Linked DNA regions of Oryzias latipes. The protein of the gene in region 2 binds, or shares a complex with, the protein of the main gene of each other region. Links are inferred from orthologs where the notes say so. Each region holds a gene or a part of one and is shown on either strand. Other genes may lie near its edges.

Region 1 (10,990 bases), on a different chromosome or scaffold from region 2:
CTTTTTTTCTTGTAGATTTACGTGTTTTATAGGCGTAAATTTACAACTTTATTCTCATATTTAATAGGAATAACTCTTTTCTCATAAATGTAGGACTTTAAAGTCATAATTAAAAAAATGTTTTTGTTTGTAAAGTGGACCTAAAACTCTGTTGTAACTCAGCTATGATTAATATATCTATAAGAAAACCTAACTCGATACACTAACATGTCTCCTTCAAAAATACTGAGCTCTGTTAGCTACCATACTGCTTGTATAGTGGGTTTAAAGCAGAGTCAAAACGTGTGACTCCAGGTTTTTTTTTTTTTTTCGTAGGAATAAGTTTAAAAAAAACGATGGTTTTAAAGAAATCATTGAAAATGGAAAATTCTCCCCCCTGCAATCAGATTTTTGAAGCAGTTTGTAAAGGAATTCATGCTCTGAGCTTCATCCTGGTTGACTCTGGGTCCATTTACTTTTAAATTGCACCTTTGGTTTAAAGTCGTCCATGATGGAACACTTTTCCACCAATCATAGTGAACATTATCTGGATCTTATCTGAGCTGTTGGCTCTAACCTTCTGCAATTGTCAAGCCAAACATAATCTCAACAACAGTCTACTCTATTTGACAAATCGCTGAACCTGTAAAGAGGTTTTCAGGTGGAAAGAATTTGAAATTGATTTGCACTGAATGACAATTTCTTTCAGTGGATTGCATCAACATTGCTCTTCACTGTATTCCCTTTTTTTAAAAGTGCAAAGGATTGTCAGTTGGGGAATGTTCAGTTTCAAGGTTTTTACTAATTATTTCCAGGTTGCATGTTTCTATGTAAATTTACTCCCATAAGCTTATTCTATTTCTCCCTATGCTATAACAAAAAGATGAATATTTCATACTCCAGCAGTGTGTACAGATGTGAAAAGGTGGCTGCTGCTCTGTGGCAATATGTCCATGAAACACACAACCTGCTGCAGTCTTATTCCCTATTAAATTCCAGTGATGCCTTCTAATGAGGCAATCCTGAAAATTACTTAAAGTATTTCATTTTTTCTAATCCTTGAGGGGTGCATCTACAGGAGTACATGCTTTAATGATAATTTTCACTAGAATTGACATTACTGTGAGTTTTTAAAACCACTAATACTGATTTATACTGGCAATACAAAAAAAAAAAAAAAAACTGGACACTAAAACTCCCAACAGAAACGTAGCAATGCCTCCAGTTCCACCATTAATCAGATGGCCACCAATAATCTGTGCATATTAGTCTGACTGATATCATTGCCATAATGGTTTGGCCTTTGGGAAAAGCCAAGTAAGATTGATCATGCTAGTAGAAGGGGTTAAAACAGCAATATGTTACTTTAGCATTACCTCAGAAGGACTGAGCTCACTCTTTCCTGATGGAGTCATAAAACAAAAGGAAAAAGGTAGGGTTGCTTTAAGAAAGAGCACCAAGTGATCATGGATATTTTTATGTTATAGTATACAGTATTTTATTTCAACATTCCCACAAATAATAATATTTTTTGCATTTTAAGCAGGATTTTGTTGCATTCTCTCATGTAGCAAATAATTTGATTTTCTTTTCCTTGTTCAGCATAATTCAGCATAACATAAATTAATTAAAACACTGATTTAATGTGCCAGAAATTGTATTTCACAATGCTTTTCTTTATAAATCAATTTTTTTCTGGTCTGTTACTTTTGCTCCCGTTCTTTTGCAAACCAACAGATATAACAGAAACTTTCTAATTTTTGACATCATTTTTCAATGCTCACTCATAGCAGACCATTCAAAGCAAATTAATAAAGTTTTAAAGTAAATAAGAAAGCAAAGGCATAATATTTTAACAAGTGGACTCCTATTGAAACCTTCTAGTAGAGATGTTATAAAAGAGTTACATGTCATTTAAACTCAACATCCACAGTCCTCTTCTCACTCCTCTTTGGTACCGAATGAATCTAAAAAGAAGACCATAAAAGCAGGTTAGAACAGAGATCCATAAGGCCCACTAACTCCTTAAAGCCTGCATTTATTTTCAGCTAGGAGAAAATAAATTTATTATAAATTTATATTAAAATAAATTTCACTTATATTTTTTGCTTTCAAATAGATGCTAAGTGAAAGTTATTTTGCAGCTAAAGTGGTTTGCTGCATTTTTGCATCAATAGACGTCAAGGTGTTTATGTTAAGCTATGTTCACACTGCCCTCGGCAATGCACATTCAAGCCACCACTTCCAATAAAAACTCTATGTAAACCCATAAAATATGTGTTTAAGGCTCCGGCGTTTAAAACCTTTATGTTCATGCGTGGTTATGCAATTTTCTCTGACCATTTTTGGGCTCTATGCAGGGGCGGAGCTACAAGGAGGCAAGGAGAGGCAAAAAAAAAGAAAAAATGGACTCCCCCAATAACTCTCCAATTTCTGAGTCAATATTAGTATCATTTTGATAAGATTTAAAAAAATCACAAATTCAAGCTTTTTAAGCACTTATAAACATCAGCCAAAAAAATAAAAAATATAATTACAACTGCTCTATTAACTTAATAACGATAACAATTGTAAAACTGTTTCGAAGAGTGGCAAATGTGAACAGCACATCACAAATGAAAAAAAAAAAAAACTTAATTTAAAGTCTTCTGTTCTTCTCCCAACCGTCCATATGAAATGTTCTTACTCCCCCACTGGCTCTTCAAACAAATGTACGGCTATTGAACATGCATTAAAAGTTAACCCAGGTCCAACTTTGACCAATCAGGGACTCGGATTTGGCAGTGATTCACATAAGTGCCAACTGTTTGAAAACTTATCATGGAGGAGAAATTATTAATTGCTCAATTGTCCGGGCACAAGTCTTTCACATACAGGAATAGAGCTGTGAAAGAAAGCCTGAAGAAAGATTCACAAGATTTGCACCGTTTTGACATTTCACACTAAGCCTTTTCCAACTGTAGGTGGCCGACATGCGATAGAAAACAATAGCAAAAGAAGAAATTCCTCCCTGCTTGTCCAGTGTGAATGCCATGGGATAAACATGCGTTCAAGAATGTATGTTTAACATCCATCCATCCATCTTCTTCCGCTCATCCAGGACATCGCAGTCTAAACAAAGATTCCCAGACTACCCTCACCCCGGCCCCTTCTACCAGTTCCTCTTGGGGGGACCCAGAGGCATTCCCAGGCCAGCCAAGACACACAGTCTCTCCAGTCCAGGATGTCCTGGGTCTCCCCCGGGGCCCACACCCAGTGGGAAATTCCCGGAGCACCTCCCCGGGGAGGCATCCAAGAGGCTTTCGGACTAGATGCCCGAGCGACCTGAACTGGCTCCTCTCAATGTGGAGGAGAAGCAGCTTTACTCTTTGCGGGTGAAAAACCTTCTCACCCTATCTTTAAGAGAGCGCCCAGCCAACCTACGGAGGAAGCTCATCTCAGCTGCTTGTATTCGGAACCTTGCTCTTTCAGTCATTACCCATAGCTCATGACCATATGTGAGTACTGGAATGAAGATAGAAATCAAAGATTTAGCAATCATGACTCATCCCAGCCGCAAACCACCCCAATGCATGCTGGAGGTCCCGGCTCTGTGAAGCCAGCAGGACAACATCAAAGAGCAGAGCAAAGAGCAGAGAGGAAATCCTGTGGTTCCCAAACCAGACCCCCTCCGGCCCATGGCTGCGCCTATAAATTCTGTCCATAAAAACTATGAACAGAACTGCCGGAGTCCATCATGTACTGGGAACAGCTCCACAGTCAGAGACCCTTCCCCCACCTGAAGACAAAGGGACATGACTCTCTCATCCACCAGGGTTAACTCCAACCCCTCTCAAGGTACTGAGTTTCAGAGCCCAGACACGGAGGTGACCCCAACTATTTCTAGCCTGTAACCTCTCAACCTGAATCATTAAAATATCACTAGTCATCTCTCACAGTCAATGCATGTGTTTTATTTCTCCACCTTTTATTTCTCCTCCTGCCTCTCAGGGATAATGTTGCACTTACCATTTACAGCATTAAGCAATTTGCCTTCTTTACTTTGGCCGGCTGAGGGCAAAGCACAGCCCTGATGGCTTCATCAAACACAGTCTTCAGGCCACGCTGGGTCAGTGCTGAGCACTCCAGGTACTTCACTGCATCTGTGTCCATATGCAAACACACAGTAAACCTCAGAAAATTGTAACAAATTCTCTTAGAATAAACAAGACAAAAACAGGTAAAACATAGAAAAACCAAAATAAGTACATTTGATTGTTTTAGCAATTCTTTTTTGTTACTGCGCCTTTAAGCAAAAAATGTCACCCCCCCCCCCCCTCCCACACACACACATACTAAAAAACTCACTACAATTTGCACATATTTAGTACCTGGTAAAATGCATTTTTGACACAGTGAATGACCCCTCCCTCAAAAATGATGAAATCACAGCAGGTGAAATTGTAAAAAATAAACAAATAAAGAATTGGGCCAAAATCTAATAAGGGGCCAAAAAAAAAAGAAATTGAACATTCAGTAATGAAACAAAACCAACATGTCAGCCATATCCAAACAAAGTTTTTATCATAGTATGGACACAGGTTCTACGGCTTGATGGCTACTACATGCCGAAGTTTGAACTTTGGTGATTTTCATATTTTTGCACATGTATGGGAAAGGACAAGCTTTGTTTGGGTGATCTTTACAAAATGTCACACACCAACGACCACCACCAAAGTTTCTTTGACCATGAGAAGCAGCTACAATCTTGAATTTTTAAACAAACCTACAATTTTAAACTCCTCCAATAGAATTTAATCTATCGCCTTTTAACTTTTTGAGCATTACTGGGAAGCTACTTGGGTAAAAAAAAGGTTGGATTTAGAAGTTGTAGATTTTGGACAGTGTAAGTGTGGCAAACTCACAAAAGTGGTGTTCGCCTGTTGCTCACACAGTTTTTACTGGAACATTATCACAAAAAATAATACATGAATCCTTGGCTCAAGCGGAACGAAATTATATGACATACAATGGAATGTGGGCGTGATTAACAAAACCCTCTGTTGCCAAGGAAATCCAAACATTTATTTTTGGCAATTCTTCAAAATTATTTTTAGACCTGTTCGTCACTACCTGGCTGCCATTTTGAAAAAAGTGGGGTTTAAAGTAGCAGTGGCAGAAGGGTAGAGTGAGGGGTGTGTAGCAGCCACTAAAGCCAATGAGGGCAGATCAGGAGGGGGTGGCTATTGCTTGCATACAACACCACTCAGGCTTTAATTCATTTTTTTAAGCTCCAAAGTAAAATCTAAATCAACATGAATTTGTCCCATAAAACATCAAATACGTATATATTAAAAGCTTTATATTTTTCTTCAAAAAGCACATTTTTAGTTACAGGGTTGAGTGTTATACATGTAAACATATTAAATCACAGATCAGATCACAAATATTTATTTAAAAAAAAAAACAGAGCTGAAACAATATTGAGTATAACTGACCAATCTCCTTAGCCAGAGCTAAGCCTTGTGGATAGGTGATTGGTGCCAGTTTTTTTTCCTTTAGCTTCTCAATCGTATCTTTCTCATCCCTCAGATCCAGCTTGGTGCCCACCAGGATGATTGGTGTGGAAGGGCAGTGGTGGCGAACCTCTGGGTACCACTGCAAATTAAGGACATGAAAAAACAAACATGGAACATTTTCCTAATTTTTCTTTATTTTTTATTTACAACTAAATGTAAGTCTGGTAATGGCGTGCTTAAACGTTAAAGACTGAAAGTAAATGTGTTTGAATTTTTTTAACTATTTGGACTTCCTCTCCTTTTCCAGATTTTTCCTGGCTAACAGTTTGTAGATTTTCTGCATTTAATTCTCTTAGCTAAATAAATAACTTTCAATGTATTTTACAGTATATTTAAAATACCAGAAGTCATATTTGAAAAGATGGTAGGATGTTATTTAGTTTATCAGAAGCCAAGGGAGAAAAACAAAGGTTAAATAACTATAGATTTAGCTACTGAAAAAAATCTGAGATAAGCTTTATTCTTTAACCACTAGCTTTTTTTTCTTACACATGAACTTCTACTCCTGCTCTTTTTGTTTAATTCTTTCCGGAAATATGTGGATTTTACTTTTCCAATGAAATGTAGATAATGATCCTGTACCAAACGGAAAAAAGCAAAAAAAAGTTGTCTTGACCATCATGAAAAAAGAATCAAAAGGGAGACACAAATTTAATTTAAATTGAGAGTTTAAACAATGGTCAAAGGTCAATAATTCATGTTGTGTGGCTACTTTAAACAGTGCACAACCTCTTTGTGTCTCAATTTCAGGAAATGTGTAAAGTAATTTACCGAGATTCAATCTGATTAGAGATAAAAAAAAACTCTAAACCTATACAAGTATATTTGCTTAATTTTAAATTAATCCAATTTCTGTTCCAGATTAGTTCTGTGCTGGATTATGGGGATTATTGCAACCCATCATAGGGTGGGGCGAATGCAACTCCTAGCAAAAAGTAACACACTTGCACTTCATTTTATTCAGTACACTAAAAAATGAGAATAGCAAATATGCAAAAGACCATCTACGAGTGGGAAGTATACTATCTAAATATAGTCAGGACCATAAATATTTGGACAGAGACACGTTCTTTCTCATTTTGTTTCTGTACATTACCACAGTGAATTTTACATAAAACAACTCAGATGCCATTGCAGTGCAGACTTTCAGCTTTTATTCCATGGGTTGAACAAAAAGATTGCATAAAAATCCTTTCATTTCATGGGATTGTAAGTAATTGGACAGATGACTTCCATGCTATTGCATGGGCAGGTGTGGCCAATTCCCTTGTTATGTCATTATGAGTGAAGCAGATAAAAGGCCTGAAGTTGATTAGAGGACTCGTGCTTGCATTTTGAAGATTTTGCTGACAACATGCGGTCAAAGGAGCTCTCCATGCAGGTGAAAGGAGCCATCATTAAGCTGAGAAAACAGAAATTGCTACAGTATTAGGAGTGGCAAAATCAACAGTGTGGTACATCCTGAGAAAGAAAGAAAGCACTGGTGAACTCAGAAACGCAAAAAGACCTGGACATCCACAGAAAACAATAGTGGTGGATGATGGCAGAATCATTTCCACTGTGAAGAGGAACCCGTTCACAACAGCCAACCAAGTGAACAACACTCTCCAGGAGATAGACGTATCAATATCTAAGTCTAGCATAAAAAGAAGACTGCATGAAAGAAGATTTAGAGGGTACACTGCAAGATGCAAACCACTCATAAGCCTCAAGAATAGGAAGGCTGGATTGGACTTTGCTAAAAAGCATCTAAAAAAGCCAGCACAGTTCTGGAAAAACATTCTTTGGATAGAATAAACCAGAATCAACCTCTACCAGAATGATGGCAAGAGAAAAGTATGGAGAAGGCGTGGAGAAGCTCATGATCCAAAGCACACTACATCATCAGTAAAACACTGTGGAGGCAGTGTGTTGGCCTGGACGTGCATGGCTGCTAGTGGCACTGGGACACTAGTGTTTATTGACGACGTGACACAGGACAGAAGCAGCCCAATGAAGTCTTTTTTTTTCCCTTTCCCTTTTTTCCCCCCTTCCTTCTCATCTATAGGCTTTAATCATCAAAATGACAAGACTGTATTACATTTTTTGTAATGATTTCATACATTAATACAAAATAATAGTCATTGGTTTTTGGTTATTTCATTTGGCTGAACAGATACATTTGTTTCAATCAAATATTAAGATGAGAGTTCACTAATAAATTTGGTTTTACATGTATCTGAATATTTCCTCAACAGAGAGAGTGCTTTAATGGCCTTGACACTCCACTACGATTCATTTTAAAGAGGAATCTCATTAGAAGAACCAGAAAAGCTTTTTGGGCCTTTGGACTTTCCACACTCTCACCACTCCGTCCGCCTCGTCACTTCCCATTTACTGATGGGGCTGCGGACATTCTCATCCCTAGGAATGTGGTTGACGGCGTTGGATTTATTGTCCATTAAAAAGATGACGATAAATAATCATTTCTGTAGTCAAGAGCAGGATGTGCACTCACAGCATAAGTTAGCTTGACAGCGAAAGATTGGCGCAGAACAGTAGTGCACTCCCGAATGAGGAAAGGGATGCAAATCAAACGGCAGACATTCAAATCTGACAAGCACTACAACAAAAATAAAAATACAATATTAATGGAAAATAAGCTCTCTTGCCTCATTATGTAAAATGAGGCAAGTGACTGCAGTTTTTTGAGTAAAGTAGTTTTACATTTCCCTCTTATTTTAATTTATTTATAAGGGTTTAAAAAAAAAATGTTTTTCCTTTTATTGGGTTTTTAACATATTTTCAAAACAGACAACACTAACAAATTACAAGAAAGAAAAAAATGAATAATGTAGATATGAAATAAAAAAGACAAAAAAAATAATTACATGTTACATGTTACATTACAGGTTACATGTGCAAAATATCTTGATCGGATCAGTGGTCGGATTAAAATTCAACCGTGTACATGGGCCTAGAAAAACTTTTTCCAATTAGAACGAATGTTCACATAGTCACACTATCGGTCGGAATAAATCATTTGGGCATGCGCAATAGTGTTGAAAATACCTGAAGAAGAAATGAGTCCCACTGTAAACAAAGTGAGCTGCCATATACATTTATGCAGCTGCTCGGTAATATACGAGATGATCTTCTTAATGTGCTTTTATTAATGTCATGAAGCGCCTGTTCCCTCATCACTTCAATTTTAATCCGTGTGGTCAGTGCTTTTTTTTTTGTGGAAGAAAGGAGCAGGAAGAAGGGTTAGGAGAAGGCTAACACGGGCTAACAACATTTAGCTTTTGACGAACATAAAGTCCATGTGGGAAATGCCGCAATCTGCATCTTGGCTGGACATAAATATGTGGGAATAAACATCAGCCTTTATTTTGTCGGGACACGACTGGAAACACAAATCCACGTGATTGTTTGAACGCTTTCTAAGGACTGAGCAGCCTTTTTGCTTTGTTTGAAAAGCTCACACACCACCCGAAAGCCGCTGTGTGAGCTGGCTGCCCAAGCTCTGCTCGGACACAAGGTTCTCCTGAGTCCGGCAGCCGCTAACCCAGAGCGGCGGGTCGGAAGCCTCCCCCTTGGAGTGCACATGCACCAAAGCACCACCGCCCTGCCTGCAAACACAAAGCTATAACTCTGGATGCTCTGCTCACAGGCACGGTTCACTCGCGCTCCAAAGCTTTCTCTTAAGCACCGCACCTTCTATGCGTGACGTAAAACCAGAGCAGTAGTGACACACGATCGGAATGAACTGTTTACATGCAACTCGATCAGATAAACAATCGGCATAACCCACCTATCTTGATCGGAAAGAAATTGTGATCCCAACAAGTCTGATTGGGGTAGAGTATTCCGAACGGCGTGTTTACATGACGCATTTTTCTTCCAATCAGGCATTCTTTCTGATTACTTTTGTCCATGTAAACGCAGCTAGTGTCAGAGAAACATCAGACCAAAAGTTTGACAGCTTAGAGCAACCCCAAAACATGTGCGACAAAGATGCTGGAGCCTGTCCACAGCGTATACTGTGGACAGGCTCACAGTATACGACAGGGAATATCTTACTCAGTCTGAGCCTTGTACCGTGGAGCCTGTGTATTATCTTAGACTGAATCAAACCATGCCTGGCACAGATTGAGGTTGTGTGTGTGGAGCCTAAAGCTAGATCCCATTGCTCTTCTGAAATATTTCTTCTGAGCTCCCTCAAGTGCTGCAAAGTGCTGTGGCCATTGAGGTGGCTCAGTTTATTATGCAAATGTGAGATTCCTCCTCTAGTCGCAGGGTCTTTCAAGAATAATGAATCGGTAACAGATTCCTCTGGGAGTTGTGGGTAATTTGGAGAGTTGTGCCTAACAAAAACTTTAGTGAGTATTAGGCAAGTTATATTTGTCTTTCAACTACTAGATCAAATGATGAAAACAAACCATCAATATAAAGATCTTTGAAAACACGCAGTCCACGATCATACCAGTCAGCAAAATTAACATTTTTCATTGAAGGAGAAAACAAATGTTTTTTAACAATAGGGCCTGACAATGGATTTGCCTGGAGACCAAAATGATGCACAATCTGTTTCCATATTTTGACTGTATGAGATACAACCAAATCCTTAATCTTTTTTAGTGATATTGTAGTTATGTCTGCAAAAAAAAAATGCCTTAGGGGAAGAAGGGTTGCAATGGTTCTGTACTATCTCCATCCAGTTTGGAAATTTCTCTGTGATCCAAAATGAGATATTTTTAAGTTTACAAGCCCAATAATAAAGCTGAAAATTTGGTAAGCCCATTCCTCCTGAGGATTTTGGTCTTTGTAGAAACTACCGTTTAATCCAAGAGACTTTCTTATTCCAAATGAATTCCAGTATTCTCTTGTCTAGTTTTTTGAAGAAACAATTGCTTAGGTGGAGAGGAATAGATTGAAACATAAAAAACATGTGGGCAGCACTGTCATTTTAATCACCCCCACACGATCGGCAAGAGAGAGTGGAAGAAAAGACCATCTCTCAAGGTCACTTGTGGTTTGTTCTGCTAGTTTGGCGAAATTTTGGTTGTAAAGTTTTTTTACCGATGAGGTAACTGTAACTCCCAAATATGCAAATTGGTATGAAATCATGAAGGGAATTCCAGATCTATTGACCCGGGTGTCATTAATTGGAAAAATTATACTTTTATTTATATTTATCTTATAGCCAAAGAATGCTAGTTTTCTCATTATGCTTGGAAAAGAAATGCTAGGATTTGAGATGTATAACAGCAGATCGTCAGCATAAAGTGAAACTTTATGTTCTCATTTAGCTCTTACAATGCCTGTATAGTCCTCTAAAGTGCGTAAAGAGATTGCAAGTGGCTCAATTGCAATAGGAAAAGGTAAAGGGGATAATGGGCAGCCCTGTCTTGTGGACCTGGCAAGTGGAAAGTACTCTGATCTGTAGCCATTCATTTGAATAGAGGCGACCA
Region 2 (11,660 bases):
AACCTGTTCCCCAGCCTGGAGCTGTCGGCGGGTGATCATCGCATCAAGCTGAGCGTCAAACACTCCCAGTCGGATTGATGAGTGTCACAACCTAAAAATGTCACTCATCGTCTCCAACAGACAGACGTGCTGTTCTTATGCATCTGTGACACTACAGAAGCAGATTTCCTTTATTGGGAAGTGTTTTTTTTAAATAAAGTTTTTTGAAACAGATCCTTTAAAGACGGTTTTACTCGTACATTGATTGCATTTCCAACAGTCAATTTCAGGCGCTCCGGGGAGTTTATTTTTATTTTTTTAAATAACAAAATTTCTGATGGCTCCTTCTGAAAAATGATGACAGATCCAGTCAGATATAAATATTTAAATCTTAATCATTTCAACACAATCTGCTCCTATGACCTTCCTTCCACAACTGACTCTGGAGTTTCCAGATATTGTCATTGGTGAGTCTTGGTCATTCAGGCGGTGAGTCGTACAAGTTTCATTATAGAGTTTGAACATCTAGACCACACAGGGATCTAAGGTGGTATAAAGGACATGTTTCCTGTTTGGATCTGTTTTCCCACGTTTCTTGTAGGAGTTATGTTCTAAAAATTGCGATAAGTAAAATCCACAAAGTAGTCGTCTTAATTTTAATTTTCCAGACGGCACCCCTGACTACACACTTTTCTCAGCCAGAAATGAACATTTTCACACTTTTCTTTATTGTTTAAACTCTCAAATTTCAAACCTTTGTAGAATAATAGGTCCAGTATTATAAATTGAAAACAAAGATCTGATTGCGATGCATTATTTCTGTAGATTTGGTGAACTGAACACATTCTGTTCAGGAGACACGACACAGTGGAGATTGATTAACAATGGTTCCCGTATTTTGTTAGATAAATTTCTCCTAAAAGTGTGACTTATACTTCAGTACGACTCGTATAGGATTTTGTATTTTTCGGCTGCTGAGGCTTATACTCCGGAGCAACTTATGGTCTGAAAAATTCGTACATAAAAGAACTTTCTGATGGACGTGTTTTAAAAACGCGTGGATTTTTTCTTTGACGTGGCCTGTAAGAACTAGAACTTGAAGTAGGAACATAAAATACTCACGGCTTCAGACTTGGGTGGGACAGGAGGTGGAGTAAGAGGCACATCTAAACTGGCTATAGGACAGACGGGACAAGAGACTGGGAAGGACAGTGGAGCTGCGACAGGACAGCCGTTGTTGACACCTCGTATTCCTTCACTTGAGGAGGGTTTAGGCGTCTGTCCTCTTAAGTGATCCAACCACAGCTCCTCATACGGACCGTCCAGCTTGTTGAAGGTCGGCTGTTGGGTCGTGCTATCCAGCAGCTCAGGGAAAAGGTGCTCGTTTTCTCCCGATTCAGAGTACTGGCCGTCAGAGGGCAGAAGAGTCCAATCTCCACATAGCGCCATGCATCCCTGCAGGTTAACTTCACTGTTTCCGTGCAGGTTGCTTCCGTAAACGCACACAGACAGTCGATGAAAGGACTGGGTGAGTTCATCGCGGGCGTACGTTAAGGAGTTGGGGATCTGTATGTGGCTGCTGCAACCGTTGGAACCGCCGTTGCCTCCACTGCTTCCGGAGCAGGTGCCATTCCCACTGCCTTTGTTGGGACTTTTTACGTCGTCGCTCCAGTCTGTCCGCACATCCCGGACGGCCCGGGAGTAATCGTCTATGTCAAACTGCTCCTGGCAGAAGGAGAACCAGCGATGCACCATTGTCTCCAGCCACAGCTCCCCTTGCAAAAGCTCCTCTGGGACGATGAACCTCGGCATGGCCATATGAAAGGGAAAATGGAAGGGAATGATTTTGTTGTTCCGCAGAATGCAGCACACAACCACCGTCTTTGTCTGGATGTTGACCAGCTTATAGCGGTGACCCTCCCGGACGAGGTGAAGGTCATACTGGTTCCGGGGTGGACTGCTGGGCACGATGACATTGACGGGGAGTCTGGTTTTTTCCACGATGTTTCTGATGGTGTGCTCGCCGTCCTGCATCTGAAGCTCCAGCGGGCTGCAGGTGCTAAACCTGCCTTTGCACTGAAACGGGAGACTGATGCTCTCGTTTGTGCGATGGTTCATGCAGATCAAGCACGGCATCTTGCCCCGGCCGATCTTGCTGATGGAGTGAAGCTTCCCGATCTTCTTAAAAATAGTGTTTAGTCGTGATTTTTCTTTGGAGCTTTTGGCGTAGAGGATCTCTGCCTGGCCCATTAATGTGAGCTCATCACCGGTGCTCAGCGTAATGTTGTAAACTTCTGTCTCTTCATTGCATTCCCCTGAAGCCATCTAGGACAGAAAAACAATTATAGAACATTAACCTAAACTAGTTAACAGCTTCTTTCTATTGAGCAATCAACCAAAAAAAAGACACAGACTATGAAATGCCTGTTTAAAACCACTTTTTAAAAAGTTGTTTCTGTGTTTTTCATGACTGGTTTTTCTCTGAGGGCTTTTACTCCAGGTGCATTGTGGTATTGATAAGGAAGTCATGGAATGCAAGCTGGCAGCTGTTAAGGGCGGTCTGACTTTCACATTTGGTGGTTTAATTAAAACAACTTTAGCAGAAAACAACAACCAGTTCCCCCTTCAGTAAGACGAAGGAAATGGAGGATTGTGCTTCAGAGTTGCCAAACTACCACGTTTCCCAACATCTGGCCACACCAAGTTAAAACATTCATGGCATCAGTTCCACCAACTTCCATTGAACTCTAAGAGAATCAGGTCTAAGTGATTTTTGGTAGAAGTCTCTACAATAAAAGAAACGTGATACACATCATTTCATAGTAATGCCTATTAAAAAAAAGAGATGAACATTTTATGAACATAGACGTGCTATAGCATGTCCTGCTGCTGGAAAAAACTGGAAATGCCTCCTAATTAGGGATGTGGATCATTTCTTAGATCAACGATTCACAGATCAAACCACAATTCTTTCCATTTAATATATTATGAATGAATGGTCGCCTCATGTACGTGTTTTTGTTGGATCTATAAACATCATTTACACATTTGTTCAGAACAGGATACAAGAATCAGCAAAACATAAATAAAAGCTCAAATATTTTAAAAGAAAGAAAAGGTATTTGTCACTTTAAATAATGTCACACTTGTGTAAGTTTTTCTGTAACCTTCCTGGTCAAATTCAGTAGTGTACAAAACATAATCGTCACTGTTGCTTTGGATCGTTTAACATCCAGTCCTGGAAGTGTTCTCCACAGTTTTTCCATCTTCAGAGTTTGGCTGACTAAAGTTCCAGTAGATGGATGATAAGAAAACAATAAATGAAGACACAGCAACACCTCAATAAAAGTGACTCTGTAATAAATAGGAACTGTTCTTTAATCTAAACTAACAGCAGAGTTTCCAGCAAACATATTTTATTAACTCACTGTTTTCATCTTTAGTGGAAAACACAAAAAACCTCCACACTTTAGATGAATATTTTGCAGACATGTTCTGGTACGTCACATAACTGAACAGAAGATTTTAATAATATTTTAAAATGTCCTATTCATTCTAATTTTTCTTTAAATTATCAACTACTTTTTAAATAAAATGTTTTTTTCAGAATTTATTTCAAAATTTTACTCCCATTTTTTGTATCTGAGAAAACACTTGATAGCTTTACTTTGAAAACGAGAACCTTCTCTGACACTTTACTCTGAAAATTTGTTTACTTCCTGTGACAGAAGTCCATTCAGTTTGTTTAGTTTTTAAACTTAAAATCCAACATTTTTCTGTATTTTACAGTGATAATTTATTTTTTATATATATTCCACTATATTTCCACGTCACAAATATTGGTACAGTTTTCTGGAAAAGATGGCGTATATCTGAGTATTCGGATGCTCATCTCGGTCCTATTCATCAAAATGATCACTTTGGAAGGGGAAAGTGTACCTTAACATTAAACGTGATGTCCTCCATGACGTACACTCTTTCGGGGAAGGCTTTGGCCACCTCCTCCACACTGTTGAAGTATTGCACGGGCTCCTTGACATCTCTGTCCTGTTCCAGCAACTTGAACTGGCCTAAGCAGAACACGAATGATTAGTGCTGATATTTTCCATCGCTTCTGCCATCACATGAGAAGTAAGCAGTTGGTGGTTCATCAGTTTCTCAAAATAATCACTCAGAAAACTTTTGAAAGCATACACGATGAATAATTTAGATAAGAAAGAGCCATTTCAAAGGAAGCACCATCTTCATGGCGGCTCCTTACCTTCATAATGAACTGGGATCTCTATTTTAGGCCCAATCACATAATGTCCCTCCTCTAGACTGTGAGCAGTTATAGTTGTCCACTGACGGCAGGAATGAATCAAGAGGTAGTCGTTTTCTCTGAGGCCCTCAACCAACTGAGCTGCAGAAAGGAAGTTTAACAATCAACCAAAGTACACAAAGAGTTTATGATACAATCAGGTCTGGATGAAGCTTTTAATAATATAGTCTATCCAGTGAGTTGCTTCCTGAAAAGGAAAATATTAAGATTTGAATAAATAAATGTGTCAGAAATTACACATAAAAATGTATGTTCAACTTACAAATAAAGTTTTTTAAAAATGAATCAAGTACTGGACACGAGCCTTTTTACTTCAAAACATTACATTATGGATAACCATCACCTGCTAAAAGAGACATTTTAAAAGGTAATTTAAAATCCATTAGACATAATCCCACACAATTTCTGCATGTTTTATACATTTAAATTATGAAATGAAAAACACAAATTTAACTAAGTAGATGTTAACTTTTGTCAAAGACACTTTCTAGTTAAATAAAGTGTAGACATACTAGGGGACTCATGATGTTGTGAAGGCAATGTTGTTGTTTTTTTACACCTTCAGCGTTTTCCTTTGATTAGCAAAATAGCCTTTTCGTTTTTACTTCATGACCTAAATTCTTATTCATTACCATCAAGGTTGCTTTTATATCAATCAGTTTATAGCATTATTGCACTAAAGCGAATCTTTGTTTTTCATTAGCTTAGACTAGAGCTGATAAGCAGAAGCCTTAACTGGCTAGCATGGTAGCTATAAAACTTGAAGTAAGTTACTAACCGTTATCCAGCATGACAATTTGTGGCAACTTGTACGCACTGACCAGCTGGTCTAGCGGCAGAGACGTCGTGCTCCACGTTACATCCTTTAAGTTATTGTACAACATCGTTCCAAGGTCCATTTTGCTAGCTTAAGTTAGTTAGCCACTTTTTGAGCTAACTGGTGCAAAACACGGTCACAAAAAAGCTTTCCCGAGCAAACTAGCTACACAATTATAGCTGCTCTTCATCTATGCAGTTGTGTCATGCACATGACGTTCCCAAGTCGTAGCTGCATAGTTCCCTCTAAGTTTCCCTACGTATCCAAAAGGTTCGTTGTTAGAAAAAGTAGCCAAGCCATGTTTGTTTAGTAGCGACGGCAGTATCAAGCTAACTATTCTAACGGAAATACGTCACTTTCTACAATTTTATTTTTATTAAATAAAAGCCTTTCCCTTTTCCCCCTCCAATTAAAATTGATGAATAACAAGATTTAAATCCCGGAACAACAACTCAAATTATAACAAAATTATACAAGTACATAGCAGGTGATAAAACATTAACAAAAGAAGGGAAAAGGCCAAATAAAGTGCATTCTTTAGGCTTTTCCATTAGGTTTAATTTTTTATAACCACTTCAATAATTTCACTGCGTTTTCTTTTGTTTGTTTTTTTGCTTATTTTTATTTATTTTTTACTTCTCACAAACAATTGAACTCCTTCTGATAAAATAGTCTGGATTACAAATTAAAAATCTATTTTAGTAAATAAAATATATTCCAAAAATTGTGAAGTTTCGTATCATTTCGTAATAACCAATCGATACATTTTCTAACTTTATGGCTTAGCTATTTTATATCTTATCTAATTTTACATCTTAGCTTTTGAAATAAAAGTGTTTGTTCCAACAGATGTAGAAATTGGATTTTAATGGAATGGAAGAAGTATTTACTATTTACTACATACTAAAGAAAATGCATTTAATTAATTCAAGATAAGTACCAGAAAGTATATTTTTGTCTCGCTAAAAGGTTGGGGAAATAAGAAAAATTTTAAAGAGTGTTGGCCAACAATTCAACAATTTTAAGGACAAGAGAAAAAAAATCAAAACTCTAAAATAATTTATTTTCTTATAACTTTGTTAATGTTTACACTAATCTATATAACTTAAAGAAAAAGTCTATTAAAACCTGAGATGTAACCTTTTTTTTTTGTTTGTTTTTTCATTCTATTTTGTTTTGCAGACTGTAATGCCAGATTTAAGCCTCAAACTTTGCTAAATAATGTTAAAATAATGTTTTAATTACTCATAAGTTTTCATTTATCTCTTAAGGCACATAAAATAAAAGAATAAATTTAAAAAACATTGAGGTAATAAAATAACCTGTTCTTTTGTTTTGGCTAAATATATGGGTTCACACAATTTTTATTAATTCATTTTTAATCAGTGAAGTTTTGGAAAATCTTAACTTAAGGTAGACTTTGTGATGAGTAAATGAAAAAAAATGAAAAAAATACGGTATTGCTAATACAAATCCATGTAAATCATAAAATTAACCAAAGATAATGATGAGGTGGGGAGTACTACTATTGCACTTTACTTCATTATTTACTCTTAAAATACTACAGTAAATATTTAAACACCCATAATTTTTTCAGATCAACGATTCACAGATCAAACCACGATTCTTACTATATTGACTTGGACTCAAGAGCACATGGCGTTGATGCAAATTCATTGAACGTTGTCATCAACTTCCTGTTTTTCATGGCATAAATCAGAGAAACTTCCTCAATTCAGTCACTGTGTCTCAGCGGCAGCCAAAATGTCTTTTGTGGACACTCTGCGACAGTGGGATGACGGCGTAACCTGTGCTGACAAACAGGATTTTTCGGAAGCTCTCCGGATTCTCTTGGCCATTCCTGAGCCAAACTCCAAGATTTGTTTCAACATCGGCTGTCTGCATCTGCTTAACCAGAACTTGGATGATGCTGAAAAGGTAAAGTCAAGCATTTCTCAACTATTAATTTGCTCCTAAAATAGAAAACTAGAAATCTGAAAACATCAGTTATCTGGATGCAACCGGTGAGGCAGAGATTGAATTCGATTGTAGTGTAAGTGCGAGTCGCAGTGAAACAAGAAGTGGTGCTGAAAGCGTTTTTGTAAAGGAAGTTGCTGCTGTTTCATAGGCGTTCGATTGCAGCATTCGCAAGGATGAGCATTTGGCAGTGGCTTTCTTTCAAAGAGGAATCACCTTTTATAAGAAGATGAGGTAAGACACACCGGCTTTTTACAAACAACGACCAATTTCCTTCCATTTCATTCCAAATTCAGAACACCTGTTAAGTATTTGCACCTAAACCACAAGTTTTCACTGATTTGTTATGCAATTTATTTGATCACACATCTGTAAAGGTACGAAGAGAGCATTGGTGACTTCCAGAGAGCCTTCAAAACGCTAAGAGGAAACAACCTGATCGATTACAAGGCCCTTGGTCTCAGATATATTCTATATGCATGTGAGGTAGGTGTTTTCAACCTTAGGCACAATCTACTACATCATCACTAAATCATAACACCTTCCAATTCTGCTGTTTGCATGAGAAAAGCTCTAAATAAAATCTCTCCTTTCAAAGGTTCTCCACAACATGGCCCTGGCTGAGGCTCAGCTGGGAAACTGGGAAAAGGCTGAGCAAAACCTCAGGAAGGCGCTTGACTACAAAACAGACGCCAAGCTCAGTGTCATCGAAAAAGCTCAGCAGGCAGTCCTGGTTAGCATTGATCTGATGAAAAACGAGGGTTTCTCTTAAAGTGCCCAATTTACATGGAGGGGGGGGGATCTAAAAAGTAATTTTAACAGTCGACTGGGATAGGCTCCAGCAGCCCTGTGACCCCTATAAGGGATTCAGCAGGAATATAAATAAATATTTTAAAATGTTAATCCACACATTTAAAAACTATTAAACAAAACACATCTGCAGTTTCATCTCTGCTAAGGATCTCGTCAGAGTAAATAATGTCTTTATTTGTCCAGTAAGTTCAGGTCCAACCGTGCCTCCATGGAAAGTTTAGGGACAGAATGCGGTTTTGAAATGTCAGATTTAGGACATCTTTTTGATGCGATTTCATTGACAGAAGGAGAAGCTGTTCAAACTAGTGGAGTTCCCATCAAAAATGATGTTTAAACCAAATAAACATTACGTTGCAGAGCTGGAGAAGAAAGACTACCTGGGCAAAGCCAAAGTAAGAATAAATCTTTTTCATTGAAATAAATCATCTTACATGATTTGGGAAATCTTGAGGGTGAACTTAACAATCTGTGTATTGTTTGTTTGATGATCAGGTTGTTGCCTCTGTCAATCCACAAGACGATTTTTCTGGATTTGCTCCTCTGCAGCCACAGGTGACGGAGATTCGTATTTTTCGTTGCTAAATGCTGTGATGAGGCAACAAAAAATTCTGAAAAATTGTGAAATGTCCACGCAACCTTCCAGCTTGAAAATGAGCCTTAGAAGCATGCGATGTTTGTTTCTCCCTCCTACATTTTTTATTGACACTAAGCTAAAAGCAGTGACAAGTGTAGTACAACTTGTCGGGATCGAAAAAGTATCCATTCATCCATCCGTCCGTATCTCAATCACTTTTCAGAATAACCTGTAAGCAGAAAGTCAGCACATCTGCTATTCAAGCTGTTTAAAAGACAGAGAAGGTCACAAGTCCCTTTTTTCCAAGTCCAAATCAACTCTGAAGTCTCAAGTCTGTCATTTCAAGTCTCAAATTTGAATTTTAATGAAGAGTCTACTAACACAAATTGTCATCACATTTTTGTGGACATTAAAACAGACAGTTTATGTTTCGGCAAAGCTTCTTAAAGATAATTTTTTAACAAACATTATTTATTCACAAGTCCCAAACCTGGAGGTTAAATTCAAATATTTGCATGTGAGACTTTGGTCCAAGTCAAGTCCAAGTCACAAATACAAGTCCCTATCTGTCATTCCATCAGAACCAGAACATCAGGAGGTTGAGTCATGGTTTAAACACAGTCAGTAAACAAAATCTTATTTGTGGCAGGCTGTTGTGAAAAAATTCTTGAATCTTTGGATGTGCATTTAAACATTGCCCATGTATAAAAGATTTTATGCCTTTTAATTTTATATTTAATTTGAAATTAGGATTACCTTTTGTGAGTTTTGTGTGTACATCCCGTATACTAGACAGGACTGGGGAAAACACTGGAGCCCTCAAGAACCAGTATGACTCAGTAAATCAGGGACTGACTGGATAATCTCCTTCTTAATCACTAAACAGGTTGAAGATGGTCCACTTTCTCCAAGAGAACCAGAAGTTTTAAGGTACATCCCAAGTTTTTTTAAAAATCTATCAAGTAGAAATTGATAAAATGTTTTTTAATATCTTTTTGCTGAATGTCTTTGTCCTTTCGTGTAAAAGGGTTTTCTAATTTTCATCAAATTAAACGTCATCTTCCTTCAATGACAAAAAGACACGTGTGTTACGATACCCTTTGTGTGTCTATTCTTCATAGAGCCTTGGAAGGTGAACCCCACACTGTACTGTTTGAGTTTGTTCCTGAAACCTGCGACGAGCTGGCCGTGAAGCCCGGCAACATGGTGTTCGTGCTGCAGAAAGGGGCAGACAACTGGGCCTATGTCATCTTCAATGGAAGAGTAAGAATGCCGTATGCACAATCTGTGATACTTCTTGAGAGTGTGTGCATCATTTTTTTCCCCCAGATTGTGTGTTTAGTAGAGAACTGAGTGCTTATTCGTGGTTATGATTACAGACGGGACTCGTACCGTACAATTACCTGGAGCGTCAGGAGATCTCTCTGGCTTTAAAACAGAAAAAGGTATTGGTACTAGGGATGCAACGATTCACTTTCTCCACGATTTAGCACAAATTTTGATTTTTTTTTGGGTCACAGTTTTGTGTCATTTTGATATAAGATTTGTTTATAAAATGACAAAAAACAAAAAATTTGGACAAATCCTTTTTTTTAATTTGGTAATCAGCGAGTTACAATGAAGTGAAAGACTTCACTTGGCTCATACTTGGGGTTGGGGTAATGTAACAAAACAATAAATACTAGGATGTATTCAGACTGGAGAAGTTAGTTGGTCTAGACCCAGTTTGCCTAATTTGGTCTGGATCAAGTCCTGAACCTTGCATTTGGTCTGTACTCAGATGGCTTTTCAGCTGGAGATTTGTTTCGAACCAAAGCTTGTAAACAAAAGCATGTGATTGAAAATCTCTGCAACCATTGGCAGGACACAGCAAGGAGATAAATAATGAAAGTCCTACAATCCATGTCGGATTATCCAAACTTTATATTTTGCTGAACAATTTTGAACGTCTGTGTCGGAGGCTGCAAGATAACTGTTTATGACACAGATTGTCGGGAAACACTGTGAAAACAATGTGTATCACGTTAAAAGTTATTTTAATGAGCTAAAGAGTTGCTCATTAAATTTAATGAGTTGCTGCGTCTCATCGTCGCTCCACAATTCTCTGCGGCTCATCCGTTTACATCCTGTAAAGATGAGGTAGCCGTTTAGGTTCAGTTGTTCTGCTCTGAATATGGAGTCTATTCAGACTGAGAAAAACTCCAGAAATGAGTCTGATTGGAAATGAACTGAAACCACCTCGAAAGACGGATCAGAGAGCGGTTCCTGGTCCAGGATCAGGGTCTGCTTGCCAGGGTCCTCAGAATGAAACTTGAAATGAACTCTGGTTCTCTTCAAGTTGAGCAAATGTTTCCAATCTGAATACAGCCTGAATGCTTTTTAAATTTAGCACACTTGTTGAACACTTTTAACCTAAAACACTGGTATGCCGTGTTCAACGATTCACTTTAATGGTTTAACATACGGTTTGGTTTCTGATCAACACTTGTGGCATCCCTAATTGATACACAATATTTATATTTTTTATTAAAAGCTCAACTTTGACATGTGGAGTAGTTTCAATCTTTAAGTATCCTGATTTCCTCTCAAATTTTTGCGTGTTGTTGAAAATTGCCTTTAATGGGAATAACTGTCACCAGGGTTTGGTTCCAACTTCAAGTCGAGAAGCACCGAATATACCGGAGAGGACTCGAGGTAGATTTTATGACACACAGGCTTTAAAACATTCTCGTTTCCTCCGTTTCTCCATGTTTGATCTGGTCTGTTGCCGTTCAGGTCTCAGTTCTGGGAACGACAGCAATGGAAATGAAGAGCAGACGGTACGCTGAGACAAACCCAACAGTCAGTGGTCCTCATCATAAACGCCTCGTTGATCATTCGGTTTCCTTTCAAATCCAAGGTTCCAGACAGTTTATACATCGTCAAAGTTCACTTCACATTCACCTTTGCTGTCTCAATACCACGTGAGTCTTCCTATGAAGTGCTGATAAGAAAAATAAGCAAGAAGGTGAAGCTCCCGTCAGACAACATCTCCTTAAGGTAGAGCCATCATTTTAACCCCAAAACTGACACCTTCCATTGATCCTCATCTTTGTATGACAAAAGTTACCGTCGTATTTTGGCTTCAGCTTAGATTCAAGCGGACAACGTGCGATTGATGCAAACACAGACATGGAAAC

What was found.
Region 1: ncf2 (region 2) and ras-related C3 botulinum toxin substrate 2 share a complex: the UniProt entries of both Homo sapiens proteins name them as parts of the phagocyte NADPH oxidase complex. The link is inferred for Oryzias latipes from reciprocal best matches to the Homo sapiens genes NCF2 and RAC2.

What each region holds. Positions count from the first base shown.
Region 1 is NC_019859.2:25,183,446-25,194,435, forward strand, and holds the end of ras-related C3 botulinum toxin substrate 2, read right to left. Parts: intron 5,617-10,990; coding exon 5,457-5,616; intron 4,122-5,456; coding exon 3,991-4,121; 3' UTR 3,988-3,990; intron 1,947-3,987; 3' UTR 1,451-1,946; downstream 1-1,450. UniProt on the Homo sapiens protein: Plasma membrane-associated small GTPase which cycles between an active GTP-bound and inactive GDP-bound state.
Region 2 is NC_019878.2:10,708,482-10,720,141, reverse strand, and holds the start of ncf2 (neutrophil cytosol factor 2), read left to right. Parts: upstream 1-6,651; 5' UTR 6,652-6,881; coding exon 6,882-7,055; intron 7,056-7,245; coding exon 7,246-7,328; intron 7,329-7,471; coding exon 7,472-7,580; intron 7,581-7,692; coding exon 7,693-7,827; intron 7,828-8,191; coding exon 8,192-8,299; intron 8,300-8,399; coding exon 8,400-8,459; intron 8,460-9,367; coding exon 9,368-9,411; intron 9,412-9,602; coding exon 9,603-9,744; intron 9,745-9,860; coding exon 9,861-9,926; intron 9,927-11,120; coding exon 11,121-11,175; intron 11,176-11,256; coding exon 11,257-11,300; intron 11,301-11,380; coding exon 11,381-11,520; intron 11,521-11,609; coding exon 11,610-11,660. Other genes in the region: garem1 (GRB2-associated and regulator of MAPK protein 1), read right to left, coding at 1,102-2,304, 3,919-4,049, 4,241-4,381, 5,079-5,199. UniProt on the Homo sapiens protein: Subunit of the phagocyte NADPH oxidase complex that mediates the transfer of electrons from cytosolic NADPH to O2 to produce the superoxide anion (O2(-)).